Linked DNA regions of Ovis aries. The protein of the gene in region 3 interacts with the protein of the main gene of each other region in a pairwise test. Links are inferred from orthologs where the notes say so. Each region holds a gene or a part of one and is shown on either strand. Other genes may lie near its edges. The genes, in order: FXR1, WDR83 and HSPB1.

Evidence for each region.
Region 1: the proteins of HSPB1 (region 3) and FXR1 interact in a two-hybrid assay, tested with the Homo sapiens proteins (2 studies listed by BioGRID and IntAct). The link is inferred for Ovis aries from reciprocal best matches to the Homo sapiens genes HSPB1 and FXR1.
Region 2: the proteins of HSPB1 (region 3) and WDR83 interact in binary tests that used the Homo sapiens proteins (3 or more experiments, as listed by UniProt). The link is inferred for Ovis aries from reciprocal best matches to the Homo sapiens genes HSPB1 and WDR83.

The regions. Positions count from the first base shown.
Region 1 is NC_056054.1:206,905,590-206,909,238, reverse strand, and holds part of FXR1 (RNA-binding protein FXR1), read left to right. Parts: intron 1-370; coding exon 371-442; intron 443-857; coding exon 858-1,006; intron 1,007-1,238; coding exon 1,239-1,332; intron 1,333-1,979; coding exon 1,980-2,096; intron 2,097-3,390; coding exon 3,391-3,561; intron 3,562-3,649. UniProt on the Homo sapiens protein: mRNA-binding protein that acts as a regulator of mRNAs translation and/or stability, and which is required for various processes, such as neurogenesis, muscle development and spermatogenesis.
Region 2 is NC_056058.1:11,122,395-11,126,143, forward strand, and holds the start of WDR83 (WD repeat domain-containing protein 83), read right to left. Parts: upstream 2,314-3,749; 5' UTR 2,272-2,313; coding exon 2,169-2,271; intron 2,087-2,168; coding exon 1,966-2,086; intron 1,882-1,965; coding exon 1,776-1,881; intron 1,525-1,775; coding exon 1,476-1,524; intron 1,394-1,475; coding exon 1,267-1,393; intron 1-1,266. Other genes in the region: WDR83OS (PAT complex subunit Asterix), read left to right, coding at 2,662-2,711. UniProt on the Homo sapiens protein: Molecular scaffold protein for various multimeric protein complexes. Acts as a module in the assembly of a multicomponent scaffold for the ERK pathway, linking ERK responses to specific agonists.
Region 3 is NC_056077.1:34,787,892-34,791,326, forward strand, and holds HSPB1 (heat shock protein beta-1), read left to right. Parts: upstream 1-1,192; 5' UTR 1,193-1,242; coding exon 1,243-1,594; intron 1,595-2,325; coding exon 2,326-2,389; intron 2,390-2,487; coding exon 2,488-2,677; 3' UTR 2,678-2,802; downstream 2,803-3,435. UniProt on the Homo sapiens protein: Small heat shock protein which functions as a molecular chaperone probably maintaining denatured proteins in a folding-competent state. Plays a role in stress resistance and actin organization.

The DNA.
Region 1 (3,649 bases), on a different chromosome or scaffold from region 3:
CCTACATACAGGTTTCTCAGGAGACAGATAAGATGGTGTGGTATTCCCATCTCTTCAAGTGTTTTCCACAGTTTGTTAAGATCCACACAGTCAAAGGCTTCAGCATAGTCAATGAAACAGAGGTAGATGTTTTTCTGGAATTTCCTTGCTTCTTCTATGATCCAGTGGATGTTGGCAATTTGATCTCTGATTCCTCTGCCTTAGGCATATATAGTTCTTGTTACATTACGCTTGTGTAGCAGTTTCATCTTGTTCACAGTAACATTTTTTGATTCTTGAATTTAACATAATTTTGCACTTATAAAAAGTCATTATTTACAGTGTTAATCTTTTGGGATAAATGAATAAGGGCACTTTTTTTTTCTGTCAGGTATATTCAAGAGCAAATGATCAAGAACCATGTGGATGGTGGTTGGCTAAAGTTCGAATGATGAAAGGAGAAGTAAGTTATGTTAAAACTTGCTTTGTGATTAATTTTCAAGGAAATAAGTTGACTCTTGGTTTCTGTAACTGTTACTCCAACTCTTAGTTTTGTTGTTAAAAAGCCTATTTCAGAAATAATCATGTATTTCAAAAATTCATCAGATCATTCATTTCTGTTTGTGTTCTGGATTTGCAAATACCAAAGCTGCTCTCCAGAGGTATTTTGCAAGCATGTGAGGACCACCAGAGTTCTTGCTTGTAAGAACCTCCAATCTAGTTTAGGCAAATCAGGTTGATGTAACTAAGCTGTGCTTAGTACTTGTGCCACAAGGGGGAGGGTCTACTGCTTAATCCAAGCAAAGTAATTAGAACTTCATTTAAAGGTCATTATTTTTTTTTGGATGGGATTTTAAAAGTGTTTTGATGTCTTTTAGTTTTATGTCATTGAATATGCTGCTTGTGATGCCACTTACAATGAAATAGTCACATTTGAACGACTTCGGCCTGTCAATCAAAATAAAACTGTCAAAAAAAATACCTTCTTTAAATGCACAGTGGATGTTCCTGAGGATTTGAGAGAGGCGTGAGTAATTTTGTTTACTGTTGAATTGCTTTGTGAATTAAGGGGATTTTTCAGTGCAACAAAAATCTTTTTTACCCCAAACACCCAATTAAAACTTTGACAGAAAATGTTTTTAAACAGACAAAAGTTTTCAGTGGGTGGTGTCAGTATGAAATACAAGAGTTTTCATTACAATTGCCCTCTAAATTTAACCTGTTGTTTCGGTCTTAAACGTGAATTACTCTCTCCTTAGGTGTGCTAATGAAAATGCACATAAAGATTTTAAGAAAGCAGTAGGAGCATGCAGAATTTTTTACCATCCAGAAACAACACAGCTAATGATACTGGTAAGATGACTCCATATTTTGAGGTATATAGTGAATATTGTGAATCTGCCTGCAATGCAGGAGACCCAGGTTCAATCCCTGGGTGGGGAAGATCCACTGGAGAAGGGATGGCAACCCACTCTAGTATTCTTGCCTGGAGAATTCCATGGACAGAGGCACCTGGCAGGCTACAGTCTATGGGGTTTGCAAAGAGTCAGACAGGACTGAGGGACTAACACTTTTCACTTTATTAAACTGTACATTGTACATATTTTATAATTATTTCAAAGATAAAGGATAACTTGTTTTATGGTGACTTTATTAGAATACAATGTGGGAGAAAAAAGTTTTTGCAGTTATAAAATTGTTAATTTTAAATCTTTCCTGGAGAAAGGAGGAAAAATCGGAATACAGCTTTCTTTACGTCATAAAATTCTTAACGTATGGGATCCGGGATTCTATATCCCTCCTCCCCCCATCATAATTTGAAGAGCAGATCTAAGTAATACGGAAATTAAAAAAACAAGTAAGATTATTTGTGGGAGGGGGTGCATGTTAGGTAAGGAGAGTACAGTAGATGAAAATCAATGGAGGCTTTATTTGGAAGGTTGTGTTTGTATTAAAAAAAAGGGTTTAAGTTTTTGAATTAGTAACTTATTTGTTTATAGTCTGCCAGTGAAGCAACTGTGAAGAGAGTAAATATTTTGAGTGACATGCATTTGCGAAGTATTCGTACAAAATTGATGCTTATGTCCAGAAATGAAGAGGCCACTAAGCATTTAGAAGTAAGTGGGTTTACATGTAAAAGATTTTTTGTGCTTCTCATTTAGTTTCCCGAGTATATTATTCAAGTTCTATGGCTGAAACTATATGACTGTTAGGTAAGGCTACTTGGGAACTATTTTATGGCTAATAACTGGAATTATTGTGTCCTTAGAGTTACTTTTCTCTATTACTTTTATCAAACATAGCCTCTTAGCTGCTAAATACCTGAATGGTGCCAAAGCTTAGAAACTCAGTAGGGATTTCCAGTAGAACTTTATTGCTAGTTCTTTACTCTGTTTTTTAATTGTCCTGTGAGCTATCAGTCAATGCACTTTATTAGTAACTAGTTCATTAGTATAACAACTCTTGGGTAAGAAGAGAGGAGGTCACATGGCTTGTAGTTTTAAAAAAGAGCCTGTCATTGCTTTTCTCTGTTCTGTCCTGAGGTACTCCTGTTTTCTTCTACTTTTTACTGCCACATTGTTAGGTGATTTGTTGCCCCTACTCCCTCCCACACATATATGTGCTCCCACGCATAGTCTTAGGGAATTTGAGGTTTGTTTATCTTTAGGACAAGTACATGAGTGCCCTTAACTAATTTCAAATTTCCAAACAAGTGATACGTGAATGAGTTTTGAAATAAGAATCATTTGAGTTGGAGAGCTCTGTGTGTGAGTAGTTCTGGAAAATTGTTTTAGAATTACTGTTTTCTGTGACCATGATTAAATAGAATGATCAGACTTCCCCCTTCCATTACATGACCAAGTGAACTACCTTTTTTCTTTTTTCCCTTTTCTTTTTCTTAATTGTAGTAGAATAAACATAACATTTACCATCCTAACCATTTTTAAGTGTACAGTTCATAGTATTGAGAAATATATTCACACTGTTGATCAGTCAATCTTCAGAACATTTTCATCTTGCAAAACTGAATCTCTCTCTCCATTTAAACAACTTCCTATTTCCCTTTCCCCCAGCTCCACACCACCACCATTCTACTTTGTGTTTACAAATTTGACTACTCTAGATAACCTTTTTGTAAGTGGAATCATATAGTATTTATCTTTTTGTGACTGGCTTATTTCACTAAGTATAATATTCTCAGTTTGTCCATGTTGTAGCATGTATCAAAATTTTCTTTTTAGGGCTGAATAATTCTGATTGTGTGCATATATCACATTTTGCTTATCCATTCATCATTCAGTGGACCTTTGGGTTGCTTCCTCCTCTTGACTATTGTAAATAATGCTATGAACATGGGTGTACAAAAATTTTTTTTTGTCTTTTATAATACTAATTTGCCTCTTTTACTAGTGCACAAAGCAACTTGCAGCGGCTTTTCATGAGGAATTTGTTGTGAGAGAAGATTTGATGGGCCTGGCGATAGGAACACATGGTAGTAATATACAGCAAGCTAGAAAGGTTCCTGGAGTTACAGCTATTGAGCTAGATGAAGATACTGGAACATTTAGAATCTACGGAGAGGTATGCTGCTTGTCCCCCACCTTGGGTAATTTTACTGTAGCATATTAACTGTTGTCTGGAATTTTAGTTTCTGTGTGGAATAGTTTAA
Region 2 (3,749 bases), on a different chromosome or scaffold from region 3:
CCTGTACCCTCTTCACCTGGCCAGGGCCCTGAGGGCAAGGCTAGCACCTGTCCTTCCCAGTACCCTTCACTGTCACGTCATGCTTAGGATCGGCCACGGAAAACATACACTGAAGTGAACTCAAGAGTGGAATTCTGGGACTTCCCAGGTGGTCCAGTGGCTAAGACTCTGAGTTCTCAATGCAGGAGGCCTGGGTTCAATCCCTGGTCAGGGAACTCCATCCAACATGCTGCAACTAAGACCCAATGCAGCCAAATAAGTAAATTAAAAATAAGTATTAAAAAAAAAGTGGAATTCTGAGGCAATGGCTTTAAGACTCAGACCCAAGGGCCAATCAAGTCCCATTCCATCTATTTCTGCTTTCTACTGAGCTCCCTCTCTGGGCCAGACCCTGTGCAGAGACTTGGAACACAGCTGCTACCAAGACAGGAGCACTTGCTGCCAACGTGGAACCTCACTGACTGAGGGGCATCAGCTCCCAGGAGGTGACATTGGAATTGAGACTTGAGGCTGAGAAAGGAGCCAACCATGTTCAGTTCAAGGGGGGATGTGTGGGAACTGGGTGGGCTGACAAGCCAAGCAGTCCAAACACCCCAAGTGGTGGGATTAGCACTCCTGCAGGTTGTGGCAACACTTGGGCAGCCCTGCATGGGAATTTTTTTTAAATTGTCTCCTGCAGCTAGACTGTCAAATCTATGTAGGCAGGGGTTTTCCTTGTTTTTCTGTCTTGTTCACTGCTGTATGCCCACTGACTAAAAATGGGACCTGTAGGAGGTACTCAGACACACTCTAAGTAGTATAGGAATGGTCCAGGTGGAGAAAGGGCAATTGCATGTTGGTCCCAGAGTGGAAGCATGTGTGGCATATTTAACAGAAATTAGCTGCAATACTTTGGTCACCTGATGCCAAGAGCCGACTCATTGGAAAAGACCCTGATGCTGGGAAAGACTGAGGGCAAGAGAAGGGTGCGACAGAGAATGAGATGGTTGGATGGCATCACTGACTCAACGGACATGAGTTTGAGCAAACTCCAGAAGATAGTGAAGGACAGGGAAGCCTGGAGTGCTACAGTGCATGGGGTCGAAAAGAGTTGGACATGACTTAGCGTCTGAACAACAACCACATAAAAGCTGAGAGCACAACAGAGACCAGACCATGCAGGGCCTTATGAGCACAATGAGGAGAGTAGATTTTTAAATCTAAGTACAGAGACCGCTCTGAACCTCAGTGGCACCTGGTGAGCGACAAGGTCCTGGTCCCACTCACCCTGCGAGGACCTCATGGTCTGACACCTTCACGCTGGATATACCATCTCTGGCTTCGTCCAGGGTCTGTATTGGCTCAGGTTTCCGAGAGCGACAGTCCCAGCAGCGGATGGTGGAATCGATAGAGCCTGTAAGGCCAGCATGAAGGTGGATCAGGTTTAGGGGGCAGAGACAGTCTCCTGGGCCCACCTAACAAGGCCTTGGACTCACCAGACAGGATAACTGTGGCCTCTTCATTAAACTGCACTGTGTTCACCTTCTGCGAAACAGGAACTGCCACTTAGAGGATGAGGACAAAAGCAAGGTTCCCAGTGCAAGTTAAAGCAAAGGAAAAAGGTTAAGGGTAGGGGAGATCAAAGAGTTGGGGGGAACTGCAAGGATGGGGCTTGATGAAGCGGGGGCCATGGGGAAGGATACTTGCGCTGTATTGCGGGGGGGGGGGAGAGAGCGGATCCCTGTTACCACCCACATGCAAATCAGTTAATGAGACCCCTTCTTGCTTGCACTCACCCCCGCGTGGCCCCGGAATTTCCGCACGACTTGCCCTGACGCCACATCCCACAGCACCACCGCCTTGTCCCCACCTCCAGAGCAAAGACTGCTGTTATCAAAGGAGCTAGAAGGCAGAGCATAGAAAATTTAGCATCTGCTTCTGTTCCTGGCCTCAGCGCCCCGATCCCGCCTTGGCCCCCCGGCTCACCCAGCCGCGTCCAGCACCTCGTAGCCGTGGCCGCTGTACGTCCGCAGTAACGTCCCCCGTAGCGGGTTCCACAGCTTCAGGGTCTTGTCGCTGCCGCAAGTTAGACAGTAATTGCCATCCACTGGGGAACACCAGGCGGGGTTACTGGGCCGCCGACCTTAGGAGGCGGGAGGAGGACTCGGAAAGAAGATCAGGGCGCTCACCATTAAATCGCACAGCTCGAACCGCCCCCTGCCCGCAGTCCAACGTCTTCAACCGTTTCTGCGGCAGCTCGGGGCCCCGCGGTTTGGGCTCAGGGAAAGCCATCCCTCGGCTTTCCCTTCCTCGCCACCTCACACGCACCGGCACGGAAGCATTCCTTGCCCTGGGAGGGTGTAACCTTATTATTGTCCTCCATAGTCTACTTCCTACTTCTCACTTCCGGGTTCTACATTTAGGCTCTTTGGAGATAGTGTTGGAAACACTGAAACTTGTCTCCAGCTTCCCAGTTTCTTTCCCCACTTCTGGTCTTCTAGGAGCATTTTTGGCTTCTCCGAATTCTCTGTCCCCTGGCTGGGGGTAGTTCCGGTAACCGTCGATAGGAACGGAAGCGCGAGGGCTGAGAGTGTTACTCTAAAAACTTTCCTGTGTTTCCAAGCTGGAAGCTGCCGGAAGCTGCGATTCCCGCAGCGGAAGAGGCGCGACTTCTGACTCGCTATGTCCGCGAACAGTATGTCGGACCCACGGAGGCCCAACAAAGTGCTGAGGTGAGGCTCCTAGTTGTCATGGTGTTAAAAAAAAGAAAAAGATTCAGCTGTAAACTTGAATGATATAATTGGCTTTACCAAATGAATCATAAATTGGACAACATCCCATCTAGCAAGTAGAGGGAAGCGCTAAAGAGCTACAGAAACGAAAAGGTTATTTAAAGGCAGGACAAGGAAGTCATAAACAGAAAAAAGGATGATTTCAGATTATATTAGTTTCCTTTTGGGGAGAAAAGGGTCTTATTAGGTGGAGGTTACCTCATTTTCCTTTTGAAGGATGAAGAGGGGAGAGAACCTAAGTGACTGCCTCATTGGTGCTGACCAGAAAATTCGTGACTGACCGATTAAGACTGCATTTCTGGAGGAAGTTGAAGCTTCTATTAGGTTAGATATTAAGCCCCGATTTGGTAGCTTGGCCAAGTACAAATTTTTGGACCTGTGGTATTCTTTTTAACAATCCTCCCTGTCTTCCCCCCTCCCCCCTCCCAATCAGAGTCTCTCTAACTGAGAGATGTGATCAAAACTTAAGGCATGAGCGCCACTCTCAGCTGCTACTCTGAGGTTCTCTTAGTTTTTGTTGTTCTTTTGCATGCTATCCATAGTTAACCCCTGTGATAGTCACAGGTCCTTGCTGGCTTCAGGTTCACAGTCTCTGAGTTGGTTATTCTCTTGTTATTTTTCTGATGTTCTAGTCATAGGGAGATCTTTTGCTTGATGATTAGTGGCTGTGATTATGCATTTAAAGCTTCTGGGAGAATACAGTGCCTTCAGTTCAGTTGCTCAGTCGTGTCCAACTCTTTGTGACCTCATGGGTTGCAACACACCAGGCGTCCCTGTCCATCACCAACTCCCAGAGCTTGCTCAAACTCACATCCATCCAGTCGGTGATGTCATCCAACTATTTCATCTTCTGTCCTCCCCTTCTCCTCCCGCCTTCAGTCTTTCTTACCATCAGGGTCTTGTCCAGTGAGTCAGTTCTTTGCATCAGGTGGCCAAAGTATTGGAGTTTCAGCTTTAGCACCAGTCCTTCCAGTGAAT
Region 3 (3,435 bases):
CCCAGAGCGGGTAGTGGGGGCGTGGATCTCACAGGCGGTCAGATCGGAGGAGGGGCCGGCCTCAGGCTCCAAGCAAGTTTGAAGGAATTGCCCCCTCTCCGTCTGCGGGAATATTCAACAGAACAGGATCGAGGTAATAACCTGCCAACAGGGAAAGGAGCATTGGCCCAAATCACACAAACAGCAAAGCCCTGACTAGATTCAAGGTTGCTGCATTTCAAGTTCCCCTGTCTAGGGCTCCTCCAGAAAACTAGATATAATGGGGAGACTTGACCATAACCTTCTTCCTGACCCCTTCTCAGTACTGGCCCTCAAGGTTTGTGATCTGAGTCTACTCCACTGGGGTTCAGTGGGCAAATGGCCAAACCTACACATACCATTGCCTCTGCAACAGGGACACATACATGCTTTCCTTCTTGCCCCCTCCTTCAACTTCAGGGGCTAATAATAATTATAGATAATATATTATCTATATATATTATCTATATATAAATATAGATAATATATTCATTATCGTGTACCCTGGACTAAAATGTTTACTTGCATTGAGGCTGAATCTTCAAACCAACCTAGCGATGAAAGCATTATCATCACCACCATCATCCCATTTTCCCGATGGGGAAACTGAGGCAAAAGACTCTGAACTTGCACAAGTTCATCCAGTGAGTGGCAGAACCTGCATGTGAACTCAGGCGGTCTACCTCCCGAGACCGCCCTAACCACGCTGCTTCTTAAGGCATTATATCACAGACACACTGCCTTCCAAATCCTGGCTCGCTCTGCCAGTTCCTAGTTGTGCGCCCTGGGACTCACTGCTCGACCTCTCTCTCTCCCCTTGGGACTCACTGCTCGACCTCTTTCTCTCTTTCTCTCTCTCCCTCTCGGCTTTGTCCTCCCCGACTGTCCACAGATAGAGGCCCAGCGCTTTAGCACCCAGGCCTCCGAGCGTCCAGCAGTGGGCAGTGCTCCGACATCGAGGCTCTAGTCATTTGTTTTCTCGAACAAGAGAAGGTTCCAGATGTGGGCAGGGCCTTCCTCGCCCCGCCCCGCGCCCCGGTATGCAGTGGAGGGGAATGCAGGGGGAGGGGCTGCCCCCTGGCCCGTCATTGCCATTAATAGAGACCTGAAACACCGCCTGCTAAAAATACCCGGCTGGAGACCCATAAAAGCGCTACGGGGTCCGGCGCCCGCCACTTCTCCCGCTTCTCCGAGCCTACTCCGGACGCACCCAGACTAGCCAGCATGGCCGAGCGCCGAGTGCCCTTCTCGCTCCTAAGGGGCCCCAGCTGGGACCCTTTCCGCGACTGGTATCCGGCCCACAGCCGCCTCTTCGACCAGGCCTTCGGGCTGCCCCGGCTGCCCGAGGAGTGGTCGCAGTGGCTGAGCCACAGCGGATGGCCGGGCTACGTGCGCCCGCTGCCCGCCGCAGCGATCGAGGGTCCCGCCTACAGCCGCGCGCTCAGCCGACAGCTCAGCAGCGGGGTCTCCGAGATCCAGCAGACCGCCGACCGCTGGCGCGTGTCCCTGGACGTCAACCACTTCGCCCCCGAGGAGCTGACGGTCAAGACCAAGGACGGCGTGGTGGAGATCACTGGTAAGCACCCCCTGGCCCCCGCCCCAGGGACGCCGGCCCCTCGCCTCTCGCGGGTCCCGGGGAAGAGCTCTGGGTTGAAACATGGGCGGGGAGCCGGGAGAGGGGGCCGCTGGAAAGTGAAAACTTAGCCGAGGACGGGCGGTGGGGGGGAAGGCGGGGAGCCCCCAGAGCGGGGCCCGGCCTCTTCGCCCTAGCCCTGGTCTGTATTCTCTGGAGTTGGGGTTTGCTGGAGTTCCTAAGGGATCTTTTAGCCCTAAAAAGTCTCCACTAAGGAAAGCAACGCCCCCTTCCAGCGGAGACTCCCCTCAACCCCAGCCCTCGGACCTGAGGACCTGGCCCCCAAGGGACCAGGCCCCCCCGCCACGCCCCACCCACCCGGGCCCGCAGTCGGTATGAAGAGGGCGTCGCCCTCGCCGCCCTGCCCCCCATGCCCCCCACGTCACGGTCCCTGCTCCCAGCCCGGGTCCGCGGAGGGGGCGTGTGCGCCTGCCCCGAGCCGCGCTTCCACCCCCACCCCCCACTCGCCAAGCCCCTGAACCCGAACTTTCCAAAAGCTTCTGAGTTCCCCAAAGCTTCTGAGTTCCCGGGACAGTCTCGGGCACCCAGATCCCTCCGTCAGTCTTGCCAGCCCGGAGTCCTGGCCCGCAGGTGGGGCGCGCTGGGCTGCGAGCCAGCGGCTAGGCCGCCCCTCCCCGCCTCCTCTGACCTACTTCCCCTCCCCCTCCTCCCAGGCAAACACGAGGAAAGGCAGGACGAGCACGGCTACATTTCCCGTTGCTTCACTCGCAAATACACGTGAGTCCTGGCTCCGGATCTGGGGGGCGGCGGGCGGGAGAGGGGCGCGCGGGGACGCCCTGGTGTGTAACTCTTGTCCACCCTCTTTGCCCGTCCAGGCTGCCCCCCGGTGTGGATCCCACCCTGGTCTCCTCCTCTCTGTCCCCTGAGGGCACACTCACCGTGGAGGCCCCGTTGCCCAAGTCAGCTACCCAGTCTGCCGAGATCACCATTCCCGTCACCTTCCAGGCGCGTGCCCAGCTTGGCGGCCCCGAAGCCGGAAAGTCCGAACAGCCGGCAAACAAGTAAAGGCCCTTTGCCCAGCGGCCCACCCCACAAGTAGCCATCACTGACCATCCTCACCCGCCAAACCTCTATGTTCTTTTGATACGTTTGCCTTCTGTTTTTCTCAAATAAAGTTTGAAGCCACTGCCCGCCACTGCCTCAGACCCTGCTGGTTTTGTGAAGGAAGAAGGGTTGGTGCTGGTTTGATGTTTGCTGAGGGCCCGCTGGGCACCAAGCCCCAGGCTGGGTCCTGTGGGTGCAGTATCATCTGTCACTGGGCACAGCCCTGCCCTCCTGTACCCCTTGTTCATTAAGAGAGAAGCAGTGATTGTTCACCGGAGTTAAAACGCCCAGGGCTGGAGGGGGAGCAGGGGAAATTATGAGAGGCACTTGACCCAGGCTTGGGCACTCAGGAACCACCTGGGCAAGGGGGCAGGTGAGGGAAGACAGGGCAGGGCTGGGGGAGAGGGCTTCCTGGGAGCTCAGATTCCTGACTTCATCGTAGAGGGTTTGGACCAGGTAGATTGGAGGGGAGGTGTGGCCACCCCTGGCGGCTTTCTGAGGGGCGATTCCCCCAGCCCAGCCCATGTAGGCAGCACGGGACCTGGGTCCTCAGGTCTGAGAGTGCCCCGCAGAGAGTGATGAGCAGGTGTGGCTTAGGTTTTGGTGGAAGAGAGAGGCAAAGACCTGATGTGGGAAGTAGTGGCCGCAGGAGGGCCTACCTTGCCTGTCCCTGCCAGGAACGGCCACGCCTGCCTTGGCCCTCTTCTTTGTCTCTGCCC